2 linked regions of the Medicago truncatula genome follow. The main gene of each other region encodes a partner of the protein of the gene in region 2 in a complex. Links are inferred from orthologs where the notes say so. Each region holds a gene or a part of one and is shown on either strand. Other genes may lie near its edges.

Evidence for each region.
Region 1: 50S ribosomal protein L5, chloroplastic (region 2) and 50S ribosomal protein L21, chloroplastic share a complex: the UniProt entries of both Arabidopsis thaliana proteins name them as parts of the 50S ribosomal subunit. The link is inferred for Medicago truncatula from reciprocal best matches to the Arabidopsis thaliana genes AT4G01310 and RPL21C.

What each region holds. Positions count from the first base shown.
Region 1 is NC_053042.1:47,104,917-47,112,660, forward strand, and holds 50S ribosomal protein L21, chloroplastic, read right to left. Parts: upstream 2,942-7,744; 5' UTR 2,878-2,941; coding exon 2,587-2,877; intron 2,031-2,586; coding exon 1,950-2,030; intron 1,361-1,949; coding exon 1,259-1,360; intron 1,168-1,258; coding exon 1,093-1,167; intron 828-1,092; coding exon 738-827; 3' UTR 517-737; downstream 1-516. UniProt on the Arabidopsis thaliana protein: This protein binds to 23S ribosomal RNA in the presence of protein L20.
Region 2 is NC_053048.1:36,603,930-36,611,608, forward strand, and holds 50S ribosomal protein L5, chloroplastic, read right to left. Parts: upstream 3,003-7,679; 5' UTR 2,893-3,002; coding exon 2,635-2,892; intron 1,752-2,634; coding exon 1,551-1,751; intron 623-1,550; coding exon 275-622; 3' UTR 41-274; downstream 1-40. Other genes in the region: uncharacterized protein, read left to right, coding at 6,811-6,872, 6,978-7,076, 7,236-7,438, 7,631-7,679. UniProt on the Arabidopsis thaliana protein: Binds 5S rRNA, forms part of the central protuberance of the 50S subunit.

The DNA of each region.
Region 1 (7,744 bases), on a different chromosome or scaffold from region 2:
GCTTAGACACAAACATAAATAAAACTCATCTAGACACACTCACATGAATTTAAAAAGTATGAAAGAGAAAATAATTAAATAATATGTATTTTTAAAATAATTAAATGATATGTATTTTATGAGTGTGTGCCTAAATAACTTCAATTTGGGTTTGTGACTATACAAGAATTTCTCCTACATCAGATGTTAAATAAAAATGTTCACGACAGTGAACATTTAGTAGATAAAAATATACTTAACCTTAGATTTAAGTAAATTCAATATCTCAACGTATTTTAGAATTAAAGATGAAAACGTAATTGCTTGTACTCTTCTTTTTTTGGAAACTCGGGTATCCGGTCCAAGGAGTGACTATAATTTGCTTGTGTACTTAAAAAACAAAATACTTCAAAATATATGATATGCTTGCTCCTCCGATTAGATGAAAGGGACCAATAAAAAATGATTAACATTTTCAAATTAAATTTGTTCCAACAAATCTTTCTATGCAAGGTAAAGAGAACTGAAAAAGTAACATTCAAAGTAAACAGGCTCTTCATAGTAGGAATTGGAGTGATAATTGGAGACTGGAAAATAGCAATGTATTTGGAAACAAAAGATTACAATGACATACAATAGCTACATAAACATTCAAACAACTCCATCCATGATAAAAGCAAAACTAACCATGGCAAATTGATTGCTAATAGTTATTATAGATGAAAGAAGATACAATACTCGCATAGCGCACAAAATGTTCATGATGATTCCAAATTTATATCGTCCATGGTAACTTTTGGGTAGTCCTCATAGCCCATAATGCTATTTATCCGGATGCGTGTATTTGGCTGTCACAAGTTGAAAACCAAATCAAGCATCAAATTCTGGTAAACTAAATATTCATAAAAAATGACATGGAAGCCTCATGTGCCTACAGGCATACATTCATCATATATACAACATGGATTCCCATATTTCTAAGCTCCATTCAGAAAGTTTAAGGGTAAGATAATTCGCTCATAAGAATTAATTCCCAAGCCACATATAGACATTTCAATCGCGCAAAGTTTTGATAAATAATTGGATTGCAAAGTAAAAGGATAGCTAATATACCTGTCTGTGTCCAATAGTTCTACGATACTTCTTCTTTCTTTTGTATTTGAATACAATTACTTTGTTGTCTAAACCCTGCATTAAAACAAAATGGTTAAGGTAGGAGATGTATTTTACTTTTAGCTTTTCCTAACAGGAGAACAAAAGCAGAGAGAATGAAGAGTACCTGCTCTTCCACTGTCGCATATACCACAGCATTTGTTACCACTGGTTTGCCAATGTAGCAGGATGTATCTGTTCCAACCAGTAAAACCTTATGCAGGGCGATCTACAATTCCAAGAGTTAAAATTAATGTACAGTGCATAAAAAAACGCTTTGAAAATAACAGCAGATGTTCAGATAATGGAAAAGGAAGAAATCGCTTCAAAGGGAAAAGTGACAAATTATAATCATTGGTTTGAAAACCAATGGTTATAATTTCAATCATTCATTTCTCACATCATATGGTTAAAATACCTCTTTAGGCCTAGTTTCTTATAACTTACTTTTGCATTGAACCCTTTTATATTATATTTATAGGTCCTACCCATAGTTCAGGTCATTAATGATAGTCAATTTCACGAAACCAGAAAGGGAGCAGGAAGCACTCGCATCATACCTAGGCCGACCATAGTTTTAAATATATTGTATGAGCAAGCTAACATTACTTAATAAATGGTAGCAATTTTAGAGGCAATGTTTAGGGTGCAAAGCAAATGGTGATAATAGGTTGGTGATGTTAACAAAGGTTGGTGATGTTAACAATCACATATAGAACAAAATAATGAGTTTAACGAATACTGCATAACTAAAAGACCAAAAATGAATAAGTGGAACATGTCAAATGGCAGAATTTAAGAACAAACAAGTTGTATACCTTGTCGTTAACGTTGGCACCTTTGAGCCTCTGAACAACAAGCCAGCGGCCAGGATGAACAATATATTGGCGCCCACCAATCTAAACAAAACAACACAAGAAAATATTAAAAAGCAAAAGAACAGAACATAAAATTTGAGACAGAGACCCCAAAACAATAAACAGCAAATACCTATTTACCAACCCAACAAACTGGAAGTAGTCCAACAATACAAAAAACAGTTTAAACATCCAAACTAACTTTTTTATTAACTAATTTATTGAGCTTAGATGATTAATAAATTCAATTAAGGACGAATCATTCGGGAGAACCCAAGTTCAAAAATATAGGTTGGAACAATCATTGGCCAGACTTGACTTACTATTCGGCCAAACTCCAGGGGTCCTTTACTAACCATTCCTAATCTTTAATGTGCGATACTTCAATCACAAATAATTTCAGATGAATGACTAAACATATAAAATAGATAAAACCATGGTCATAGAGCCAAAAATATGCAAACTCAATTGCGTCGCCTTCACCCATAGAGCAATCTAGATTAAAAATTATACATAAAGCATGCAACTTTTGAACAATTGAAACAAAAGGGTCACCCAATCCACACTCAACATTAAAAAAAATCCTCTAAAAACTCACCATTACAACAGCAAAAAGACCCTTCTCCCATGAAGGAGACTGAACAATTTGAGAGGATTCAGACTCCGATACTTGAGAATCAGAATCAACAGGCGCGACAGAAGATTCAGTGGATTTGGGAGCGGGTAACAGAGGCAAGCGTTGTGAGAAAGTGGATTGGAAAGAGAGGTTGTGAGAAGGAAAACGAGAAGAGAAAGGTTGATGAGAAATAGAGAAATGAGGTTTTATTGAGCAATGGGTTGTGAAAGAAGAACAGAGAGTTGAAAGTGTAGAAGCAGTTGCAGAAGCCATTTTGAAGAAGAGAGAACTTCCTCTCTCTCTCTCTCAACTCTATCCTTTTATGTTCTTCCTTCATCCTATCCATTTATTTACTCTTACAAACCCAATTTTATTATTATTTTATTCATTTTTATTACTCCTTCCGTCCTACGATGACACCCATTTGAAGATGGGTATTATTGAACTCCGTATTTTTGTACGAATATATGGCAAAAGTTATGGTGCATAAGTTATTTCCTTATGCACCGTGCATAAACACATCACAACTATCAGATTTCTTTTATTTTGAACAAAAATGGTTTTGGCTCACTTTGGGGGTGTAGGAAACAATTATGTTGGGATTTATGCACGGTGCATAAGGATTTCCTTATGCACCATAACCACTCCCCGAATATATATATATATATATATATATATATATATATATATATATATATATATATATATGATATCATTGAATTCGTCTTAATGAATATTTTTAAAATATCAAATTTTTATAATTTTTTCTAAAAGATTAGTGAAGTTATTTAAAATTAAAATTATGTATTGGTATGTGTGACAAGGTCAACTGTGTCACTTAACATGAGACAAGAAGAGTATAATACAAAATACTCCTTGTATCCCTTAATACTTGACACAGTTGACCTTATTACGCATATCAATGCATAATTTTGAGTTTAAATATCTTGAATAATATATTAGAAAAAATTATAAAAATTTGATATTTTGAAAATACTCATCGAGGCAAATCTAACGACATCTTATATGATATTATTTATCTTTGTATATTAATAGAAAAATATGGTCAAAATAAGTTAGGTCAAAATTACACATCTGCAAATGAGTCATCTAATGCGGGACGGAGGGAGTATATATTTGGATTAAATATGTTTGGAAAAATGTTAACCGGTGTCCCGGGGCGCACTGGTTAAGATATCAAATGTACTACGTTTGTCCCTATATATAATAAGACTCTTTTGCTAAAACTACGGGAATTAAGAAAGTGTGTATTTGTATTAATGTTGTTTGTAATTACTATTTGTCATACCCTAAAGTTTTACCAATTAATTTTTTCCGCTTTTTAAAATAGTCAATTTGTTTTCATTCGTATTTTAGTCAGGTAAACTTTCTATTCATATTCTTAGCTCATCAAAATATTTCTATTCATATTTTAAGTAGTTAACGTTGTTATTCGTATTTTGGTTGGTTAAAATATTTTTCATTCGTTTTTTCAATCAGTTAAATATGCTCATCGTTATTAATTTGTAATTTTCAGTGGTCAAAACCTTTTTAGTCACGATTTAAGTAGTGAAAATCTCTTATTCGTATTTTTGAGTAGTTAAAAGTTTTGTTCGCATTTTGTACGTTTAAAAACCACTTTGTTCGTTTTTTAGGCATTTAAAGTTTTATCCGTACCGGTATGTAATTAAAATCTTTTTGCGCGTATTCGCATATAAATGAATTTCCCCTTTTCCGTTTTAGTTAAATTTCTTTTTCCGCTTGTACGATAAACATCTAAAAGTTGGTCCGTATTTTCTAGTCGTCTCGATCAAAATTTCGGTAGGGAGGTTACTTTAAAGTACCATATTTAGTTTCGAAGGAACAGTTTTTTATTTTTATTTTTATCTTTTTATTTTATCAATTTTATTATTATTTCTTTTTATTTTTTTATTTTGTTAACCTTCCAAAAAGAAGAGTCACGAGTGACTTTCTTCTTCTTCTTTTTATTTTATTTTGCTTTTATTTTATTAGTTTTATTTCTTTAAGTCTAAGTCCATGTGTCCTGTTCTTATTGGTCCTGAGGGTTTCTTTTTGCCCAAGTTTCAGTAGAGGGCATTTTCGTCATTGGTATGTATCAGTCTCAAACCCTAGTTTTTTACAATAAAAAGTCTGCACAATGTCAAACGCGTCAGAGATTTCAGCAGCATTAATTATAAACACCAAAAATTTCTCTTTCTTCTCTTTTCCAGATCAAACTGCAAAAAATCATGAAGTTCATCGTGAACATCATCATGAACATATGAACCTAGATTTTTCCAGCAAGCACAAATAATCACAAAAATCCATAGATTTGAACCGGATTCCCCAACAACCAACTCGAATCATCATATAACCACCAAGATCGTACCATTTTTCGAGCAAGAACAACATCACCGATTCTCAAATCGTTTCAAAACGACAACAATTTTGGTATTACAACAACACAACGAATCTTGATCTAATGTAAGCTTCACGTGAAGGAATAGAAGAAGAAGGCACTTGAAGTTTTCCGAAGACTTTTATCTCCAGATCTTAACCGATCCAAAGAGGTAACTGATTCTCCTCTTTCGTTCTCTTTCTTCATTCGTTTCTTTTTTTTTTTTTTTGAAAAAAATAAAAGATGTAGATCTAGACATGCTTGCTGTTCATTTTCGAAAACTAAATTTGAAATTGGTAACAAGAAAGAAAAGGATGTCTAGATCCGTCGTTTTTTTTTGAAAAAAGTATGATTTTTTTTTTTTGAGATTTCAAATACAGATCTATAACATGTTGTTGCGCGCCGCCCTGTTGGGCCGGCAAACCACTGCGCCGGAGCGGCGAAGCTCGCCGGAGAAGATGTAGATTCATCTTCCTCCTTCCGTTTTCCAGAAAAAGTTTTTAGAGAGAAGTGAGAGAGAATCTCTCTAAGTTTAGAATGATAAATGTTTTTGTGTTGTTTCCTTGTTGTCTCTCCCTTTATATACTCCCTCTGTTTCCTACACGCGCGTATATGTTCTATGGTGATCCCTCGCGCTGTGAACCATCAGATCTGGATCGTTCTAAAATCTGATGGCTACTGTGTGTTCCATCCGTGTTTGTCTGTCTGCGGTCTACTGTGTGCCTGCTGTTTAAACCGTCAGATCTTTGATCTGACAGTCACTGTGCTTCTTGTGTTGTTTCTCTACTTTATGCTGTTTTTTAACCCTTGGATCTTTGATCCAGTGACTGTGATGAGTCTTTCCTGTGATTGGATCTGGATCCTCTGATTAATCAGACGGTCTAGATTTGTCCAGTCTGAGCCCACTGTTTTTAAAATTCACTATTGTTTTCCTATTGTCACCACTGTTTTCACTTTTTGCACCTCTTTTGTTTAAAAAATTTTCTTCAAAGTTTCCAAAAAAAATATTGTGATTTTTTTTAATTGTTATTTACTCTTTTTATGGTTTTATTTTATATCTGCATTTTATTTAGAATCATTTCATGCATATTTTAATTTCTTGTCATTAATTTTTAGTATGTATTTAGGAATTGATATAATTTAATTTGTGCACTTTATTTTTTTTTTTTGTTTTTGTCGTTTATTTTCTCTTGAGGCTTTAGCATGTATATAGGTCCCTTGTAAATATCCATATGAGAATATGTACCGACACATGCACCGACACTTGACATTTATTTCTTGTTACGTTACGCCGTTACGTTAGTTTTCACCGTTAGTTTAAAAAAATCAAATATGCAAAACTTCAGAAATATTTTCTTAATAAACCTTGGTTGGTAACCCAAGTGTTTTTTTCCTTTTACTTTCTTAATCAAATGCTTAATTGACTTAATATTCATATTAGACTTGATTTTCTTGTAATTAAAATTTGACCAACCTCATCTTATTTTTCTCTCATGCCTTGAGGCCTCTAATCTCTTCTTAAAATCTTTTTTTACAAAATTGTTAAAATCAATCCAACCCACCAAAAAGAAATTTTTTAGGTGAACTACATTGGTTTTGATCCCTTTTCTTTAAGGGTATATAGGCAAAGGAGTTAATCCTTCAAAATCAAATAAAAATAACCAAAAATATACTTCTTCTCCCTCCATTCTTTCACTTAGATTTTTTTAGGTAATAATTTTCAAATAAGCAAATCAATTTAGCACAAGATAATTTAGGTAAGAGGTTCCTATGAAATACCATAGACGCCTAGGGTGCTAGCACCTTCCCTTCGCGTAACCAACCCCCGAATCCAAAGTCTTAAGGGTTTTTACTCATTTTTTTCCCTTCCCACGAATAAAAATCGAGAGTTCAAAGATTAACGATTCAAATCAATTAATGGTTTGATATCCGAAAATCACGAGCACACTATTGTTTTTACAATTTTATCCTTAAGAAAGAGAGTTAGTTTATGTTTTCCATATGCAATTTTTTGCTGATTGAAGAAAAAGATGTATAATAAATAGGGGCAGGTATGTAAATAAATAACTAATGTAGTTGGAAATAGCAAATGAATCTTATAAAACGGGACCAAAAAAATTCTCAAAAGGGTCTTATAATTAGGGACGGAGGTAGTAGTAAGTATTACATTGAAATTTGCATTGTCAATTCCTCAAAAACATAAAAATGTGTTATTTTCACTTTATAACTTTCTTTTTTTAGTTTTCCTAACTAGTGTCCCGGGGCACTGGTTAACATGACTCATATGTTTATGGTCCTTATAAATATATCAAATTTTCATTTTATTTTCTCTAAAAATTTCTTTCGACATTTACTCGTATAAAATTGTCAATTATCAATTTTGGTCCTTATTTTAAAGTCGTACCATTTTTATTTTTTAATAAAATTGTGTAGAATATTATAAAAATCTCTTTCAAAATAAGTTAAAATTTTTCAACAAAACATAAATTAAATATGAATTTTTAACCACCAAAAATATTAAAATTCATATTTAATTTATGTTTCGTTAAAAAATTTCTAATATTTTTTAATAAAGATTCTTATAATATTTTAAACTTTTTTGCAAAAATTTATTCAATAATATGAATTCTACATATGAGTTTACTTAAAAATAGAGACCACACATGACATCAAGTGGTAGTTTTTCATCTATTATATTTAGCATTCTTGCAGCTCTTGATGTGGAAGATCGTTCACGATTTA
Region 2 (7,679 bases):
AAAATGAAGAGAAATGAACCTAAAATATTAATAGTCCAACTAGCCAAATAATTTAGAAAACAATAGAAATCAGAAAGCAAGCAAGATCTGCATGATCATCATACAACCATATAATAACGTGATTGATGGCAACATGAAAACATCCACATCTTTTACAAAAAGAATCAATAATATTACATTACATCTGAACGAAACAAGGGGTACAACACAATCTATCTTCTGATTACAACCTTAGTTCATTATTATCTCTGATCTTGCATGAATAAAAATGAGTTTACTTCTTTGCTCTGTCTCCTCTACCCTTTGATTTTGGATCAAAATGATGAGATTTCAACTTCTTTTTGCGAACTATTTGGGTAACTTCAACTCCCTCTCTGAAGGGCATACCCATGAGAGCCAATAATTTTTGTCCTTCTTGATCAGTTTTAGCAGTTGTTGAGATGCAGATATCCATTCCTCTAGGTGTACCAATACCAGATTTCAGCTCTGGGAACACAGTTTGGTCCTTAATACCAATGTTGTAATTTCCATTCCCGTCAAAGCTGCTGATATTCACACCTTGAAAATCTCTTGTCCTAGGAAGTCCTAAGTTGATAACACGGTCTAGGAATGAGTACATTATCTGTCAAAATATCAACCAATAGGTATTAGATTTTGGGTTCAGCTATATAAAAACAAAGAAAGTTGCAAAGCATGTATAATATATTTGTATGGTTTTAAAATACAGGCCGTGACCGCGGGTGTGGACGCAAGATCAAGGTTTTTCATGTGATGTCTCCACAACCATGTTTGACCTCAATTTTCTACAGTCTCAAAGATCACAAAGAAACCACAGCCGCTAACAGATATTTAAAATCTTGTGTTAGAATATGAGCCTAAAGTAATGCAAAATACTATAATTTGAAGAAGTTCAAAATGAAACCAGATTCACATACATTGCCATGTATAATCTTTTTTTTTTTGGCAACATGGAAACTCTATCAATGTCTCATTCAGTAAATTCCTGGTATGCACTCTTTTTAAACACAAATTGTTGAAAAACACATACACAGAAGAAAAAAATCCAAACTAACTAAACTTTTGACTTCTGAAGTACCGTTCTCATGATAAAAGAGAATAATTTTACACGCTTTGTTTTGGTATGTGGAAAATAATGCTTCGTATGTAAACATATTCTATTACAAAAATAATATTTGATTACTGGAATGCATATATTATGTCAACAAAGAATATTCCCAACTCCAAAAACTTTACATGTGATCCAAAGATGCATTATACTAGACAAGTTAACAAACAGTAGCCACATGTCTCGGAGTGGTGTCCTTGAAGCACCTCAGCGCTTATCAGAGTTCATTACACCAATGCATCTAACTATACCAGCAAATTAACTAGAATCTAACAATATCATTATTCATGATACCGACATTGTTCTAAATACAAAATAGCATCAAAAATGGGAAAATGTCAAGCAATTAAACTAAATAATGATCTCATGTTTACAAAATATATTCACTAGGCAAGGCAATATCAATTGAATACGAAGTACTCACTTTTCCTCTGAGTGTCACAGCAATCCCAAGTGGTTGACCTTCCCTGATCTTGAAGGTGGCAACGGAATTCCTCGCCCGAGTCTTAACAGGTCTCTGCCCAGTGATCAGTGCTAGATCAAGTATTGCTGCATCCAAACCTTTTGCATTTTGTGCAGCTTCTCCAATACCACAGTTTACCACAATCTTCTTAACTTTAGGCACCTGAAAAGAGGGAAAAACAATATTCAGCATTGCAAAATTTGATAGATAAAATAATCTTAGAGTAAATACTCAAGTTGGTACTCGAAATTAAAGGGTTCTACTAATGTTCTATCAATTTAGTCTTCATATTATTAATATTCTTAAATGATCTTTAGAATTGCAATATGTTGAACAAATCCATCCCTCTCTATAGACATGTTATCAAACGTATCTCTGACCTTATTCACTTAATTTCAAATTCATCCCCGATTTATCAACTTAATGTCATTCTAGTCCCTACAAATACCAACGGAGAGAAAAAATTGATTAAACTTTGCATTTTCAAAAATTCATTTTGGAATATCTATAATATGAGGGACTTAATTGATACAGTTAAAATTGATTCTAGAGGTGTAGAATCAATTCTGACATGTTTTGCTTTCGCCTGCCAAATTGATTCTACTTAAAGAGAGGATTCGTGGCTTTTAATTCTAGAATTGATTACACACAGACTTATATAGTTCAACTCACTTACACGAATCTATCCAAACACAAATCACTTTACCTTCAACCCATTTTAGTCAAAATCAATCACTCAAAACCAAGTCTTGTCAACACAGAACCAAACATACACTTAATGCCAATCAACGGAGGGACACATTTGATTAAAATTTGCATTTTCAAATATCATTTTGGAATATCCATAATAATGTGAGGGACTAAATTGATACATGCAGTTATAATTTCATTCTAAATCCAAATATCTAAAAAAAACCATCACACCAAAACCAAAAAAGACTCAAACTTTAACCCACAAACCCAACAAAAACACAAAATCAAACAATTTAAACAAATACCCATTACAAAAAAAAAAAAAAAAGGTCCAAATTTCAGAAAAACCAACCTGATGAATATTAGTGTAAGAGAATTCTTCCATAAGCAAAGGAACAATTTTGTCATTGTAAGTTGTTTTGAGTCTATAAACAGTCTCTGCTTCAGATTTCTCAACCAAAACAGCACCAGAAGCATCAGCTTTCACAGACACCACTCTGTTGTTTCCATGACATAACAACGAAGAGGAAGAAAATTGAGTTGGTAAAGCTCGAAATTGAGAGAGAAAGGAAGAGGCAGAAGAGTGTAGAAGAGAAGGGGTTGTAGCCATTGTTGTGGATTGAGCAATGCTCGCTACGAGAGGGATATGGATAGCGTTGGTTGGTTAAAGTACTGTGTTACAAAGTGCCCTTGTGTTTGAGGGTAAATTTTTTGGCAAAGTGAGTGGGACAAGAATGGATAAGGGGTTGAAAATAAAACTGTAAATGCTCAAAAGGAAGAAAGAAAAAAAAATTGCTTGGAATTTGGAACCAACAAAAACCTTAGAAATCAAAACTATAAAAAATGTATTTTTATAGATAAATGATAGCATATATTTTCAATAAAGTAACTTATTTCAGGACAGAGGTAATATTTTAAGATAGTACATCTCTTTGTGATGAGATAGAAAGGATGATGAACTCCTTTCATTAGGGATTTAGAAAGAATGGGTGGTGTGACATTAATTGGTTGTGATGGGATAAGCTCACTCTTCACAAAAGTTTAGGAGGTCTAGGCTTCCAGAACGTATAAGCTTTTAACTTTTCTATTTTTGGTAAGCAAAGTTAAAAACTCTTATCCGAGTCAACCTCTTTACCATCAAGGATCTTGGAAGCTAAATATTTTTCGAGAAGGGATTTTTTGGATGCCAACCTAGGTCATAATCCAAGTTATACAAGGAGCAATATATGGAGTACAAAACCTTTACTTACCTTGGGCCATAGATGGACGATTAGTGATGATTCTCAAATTAATGTGTGGAGTATGCCTTGGATTCACAACCTTCCTACTCGCAAATCGATTAGCTTGCAATTAGTGCACCATGAGGATGTTACCGTTAATTATTTGTTGAATCCGGGTGAAATTCTTCGGACATTCCTTTGGTACAGTCAATGTTCAACCCTTCAGATGTTGCATCAATCCTTTCCATGTCTTCCTTCACTTGTGAATATGTTGTCAAGCTCATATGGAAGGCTACTACTGATGGTTCATACACACGTTAAACCCGCTTATCGCATATTTTTCGAACTTATCACCGCTACCTTTACTACTACAGGTGAAAATTGTTGGAACTCTATATGGAAAGTGTAAATTCCACCGCGTGTCTGTGCCTTTCTATGGTGTTCAACACAACATTGCTTGCCCACTCGAGCAAACCTCATTTTCCGTGGAATTCCTTGTGAAGACTCATGTGTATCATGCGATCAATTGACAGAAAGTCAAATGCACATTTTCTTTGTTTGTCTAAAAGCGATCAGTTGTTAGGAGTTTATCGATGTCCACCACATCATCCAAGATTTACTCCTTAATTTCAACAACTTTGCATTTATGTTATTTGATTTAATTGAGAGGTTGTCTCCACATCAGAAAGCTCATGTTGTAATTACCCTTTGGAGCTTGTGGAAAGGTCGTAATGTTTAGCTTTAGGAATCCATGGATAACTCTCTCTTTATATATAAACACTAGTGCAAAGGGCACACTAAATGAATGGAGTTGTATGCAAAAAACAAAGGCACCGATACACAATACAAATTATGAGTTTAGGGTTGAAAATTCAAAGTTGAGGAAATTACTGAATCGTGACTAAGTGACTTAGTGGTAGAACCCACTATCTATTTTATGTGTCTATCTCTCTCCAAATTGTGTATTCCAATATAGTAACAAAATTATCAATGATCGACAAACATATATGAATAATTCCTTAAAAAAAACATGAATGAATAAAATGAGTTATAATCATCTTTCATTTCACATATAATTAGTTGTCCTATTATATATCTGAATTGTCATGTAGTTTTTATTTTATTTTTAGAGAGAATAGTTTTATATAGTTCTAAATAGTGAGTACTTATAATGACTTTTAAAATAATGGTAAGGAATTTGAAGAAATAAGCAAACTTTAACTAGTCGGTTCTAATTTTTTAAGAGACAAACTCCGACTTCTTTGTAAGTTTTATTTCTCCATCACTCAAGAGAGGGAGGTGGTTTTGGGTTATTTTTTGGCCTAAAAATCACCCTTATGAATCTTTTTTTCTTCCTTATCTTAATCTAAATAAGTGGTTTTTACATAGATTTCATTTTTTCTTTTTGTGTTTTTCTCGTGATTTCGTTGTCTCAATGCGGCGTTGTGTTGTTTGTCGTCTTGTGCGGTATTGCTTGATTTTTTGTCTTTGTGGTGTTCGATTGATTCTTAGTGAAAGATCGACATCAATCAGTTACAAATTCAATATGATTTGGATGTCAACATTAGTGATATAGAGACATGAGTATTTCATATTTTATCATATTATTTGTAGGTATTTTTTCATTGTACGTAATCAACTTGAATGTTGTGAGTTTGTTCATAGATTTATCATTTACGTTTTTAACGATGTGAAATATGTAGTTGCATTTGACGTACTTTGTTAATTTGAATGAATACATATCATTTTGTTATAAAAAAGTGACTTTCGCAATGTCACACCATGCTTATGCACTCAAGCATATTTTCCTCAATTTAGCAACTTTTATAAAACTCAATTCTTTTATTTTTTTTTCCTCAACTTTGAATTTGATGATACAGTAATTTATTTAAGTTATTTCAACCATTACTTTGGTATCCACACTACTACATCACGATTCCTCCGATGAAGAAAGAGAAAAAAATAAAAAAATGTTCATCATTCTATGAAACACGTAAATACCTCAATTGGAGATGCTTTAAGTGATTAATTCTGAGTAAAAAAGAGAATAACGATTAATTTTTATATATCCAATATAAAGAGAATATCAAATAGTTTTTCTCCTAAAAAAAATATTTAAATAAATTTATTAATCTAACGCCTACACAAATATGACCACTATATTAATAAGAAAAATCAAAAGAGTTGAAAGTATTATCCGAATTAAATGATGATAATTAAATCATTAAAGATACATACACGAAATAAAATATAATCGAACATTATAACGTGTATGTAAATAGAAGATGTTTCAATTCAAAATAAAGACGATCTTATATTCAAAAGAATTTTATATATAAAGATATCAATTGCGTTTGAACTCAAAACCTAATAAGAAAAACTTAAAATTTATTTTTTAAAAAGAAACTTAAAATGTAGTAATTGTTATCTTCTTACTGTTAGATCAAAATTAAGAATTAAGATTTAGATAAATACGAATTTTTAATCTAATCTAACTTACAAATTATTTAAAACCATAGGTTACATTGCTACTTGCTCTAGATAATAATAAGTCCATAATAGCAACAATCTCTCTCTACTTTCTCTCTCTTCAAATCCCTTCTCGCTCACTCCCTCGTCCTCAATCCCGATCCATCTCTGCAAAATCACCCCCAAATTCTCGATTTCACGCTTTTCCCTTCATTGATTCTCTCTTTAACCTTCGATCCGCATCGTTAATCTTTACAATTTCAAAACCCTAGTTTTCTTTCCTTTTTCAATTTTGTATTTTTATCGCACAAACCCTCAATATTTGTCATCCCTTAGATTTTTCTCGGACCTAAATTTCATGGGTATTCCACAAGTTTTTGAATTGAATCTCTATTTCCTTTGAATCTGTGTTCTAGGACGGTTTTGTGTATATACCAATCTTTACGTTTCATTCGGGAATTTCATTGAAGGAGAGAGTAGTTTTTTCAATTTTTTTGGTGGTGGTTATTGCTAGATTTTCGTAAAGGTTGAAGCTTTAGAGGGTTTTGGATGATGGGTCTTGTTGATTGAGCTGGATCAGTGACTGGGATTGGTTCTAGGTTTTGAAATTTTCATACAAGTGCTTTTAGAATTGAATTATGAATAAGCAGTGATTGTTGGACTTAGAGTTGAAGTTGGTCAAAATTTCAAAATTTGAGCATATGTTATGAATTATATGTTTGATGCTGACTAGGGCTCTTTAAGGATTGCAGTAACACTCGGCATTGTTCATCGATTTGATATATTTGACATTGGTTAACAACTTTGTTTAGCATCAAGTATTGTGTGGAGGGAACGCAATGGATTTTGAAAACGAAGATCAGAGCTTGTTGGATCAAGCAACTGATAGTGGATTGCAAAAGTAACCTTCTATCTTGTTTGATTAGCTTGTTGTATTTATTTTTTACAATGTTTTAATTTGAAATTTGATGCATGTTATAACACCTATTTGTTGGTGGTTGTTCAGGAAGTTGAAAATTTCATACACAAGAGAGTTTTTGCTATCGTTTAGTGGATTGGATATTTGCAAAGAGTTTCCAAGTGGGTTTGATCGGTCACTTTTAAGGTATAGTATGCTATATCGGTGGACCGCTGCATTTAATTTTTCCTTATTATATATATATATATATATATATATATATATATATATATATATATATATATATATATAGTCAATTTATGCTCTTTCACTTATGTGTTATGCCTTTTTTTGTATGGAAAACAGTGAATTTGAAGACGCTTCACTGGATAGACAGAGAAGTACCGGTGCTCTGTCAACACATAGTTTCAGACGTAATGAATACAGTTCATCCCCTCCAACCAGAGGGGATATGAATAACTTTTCGCGGGGAACCCATGGAAAATGGGATTCTCGCTCTTCTGGACGTTCAGATAGAGACGGTGATTCTCAATCAGAATGGGATTCAGGTGTTTACGTTTGACCGACAAAAATACTCGTTTTCTTTTTAATTTTTAAAATACAGTAGATCTAAATGCCTTTACAAATATTTGGATAAACATTGAATTCTTCTGTGCCTGTCTTTTTAATGGGTGTTCGGGTAGCAGTTTATTGCAAGTCAAGGTTTATGTTGATCTATTATTGTCAATGTCAATTTACAGATTCTGGAAAACGTTTTGGCAACCAGCCTCGTAGATCATTGCAAGGTCC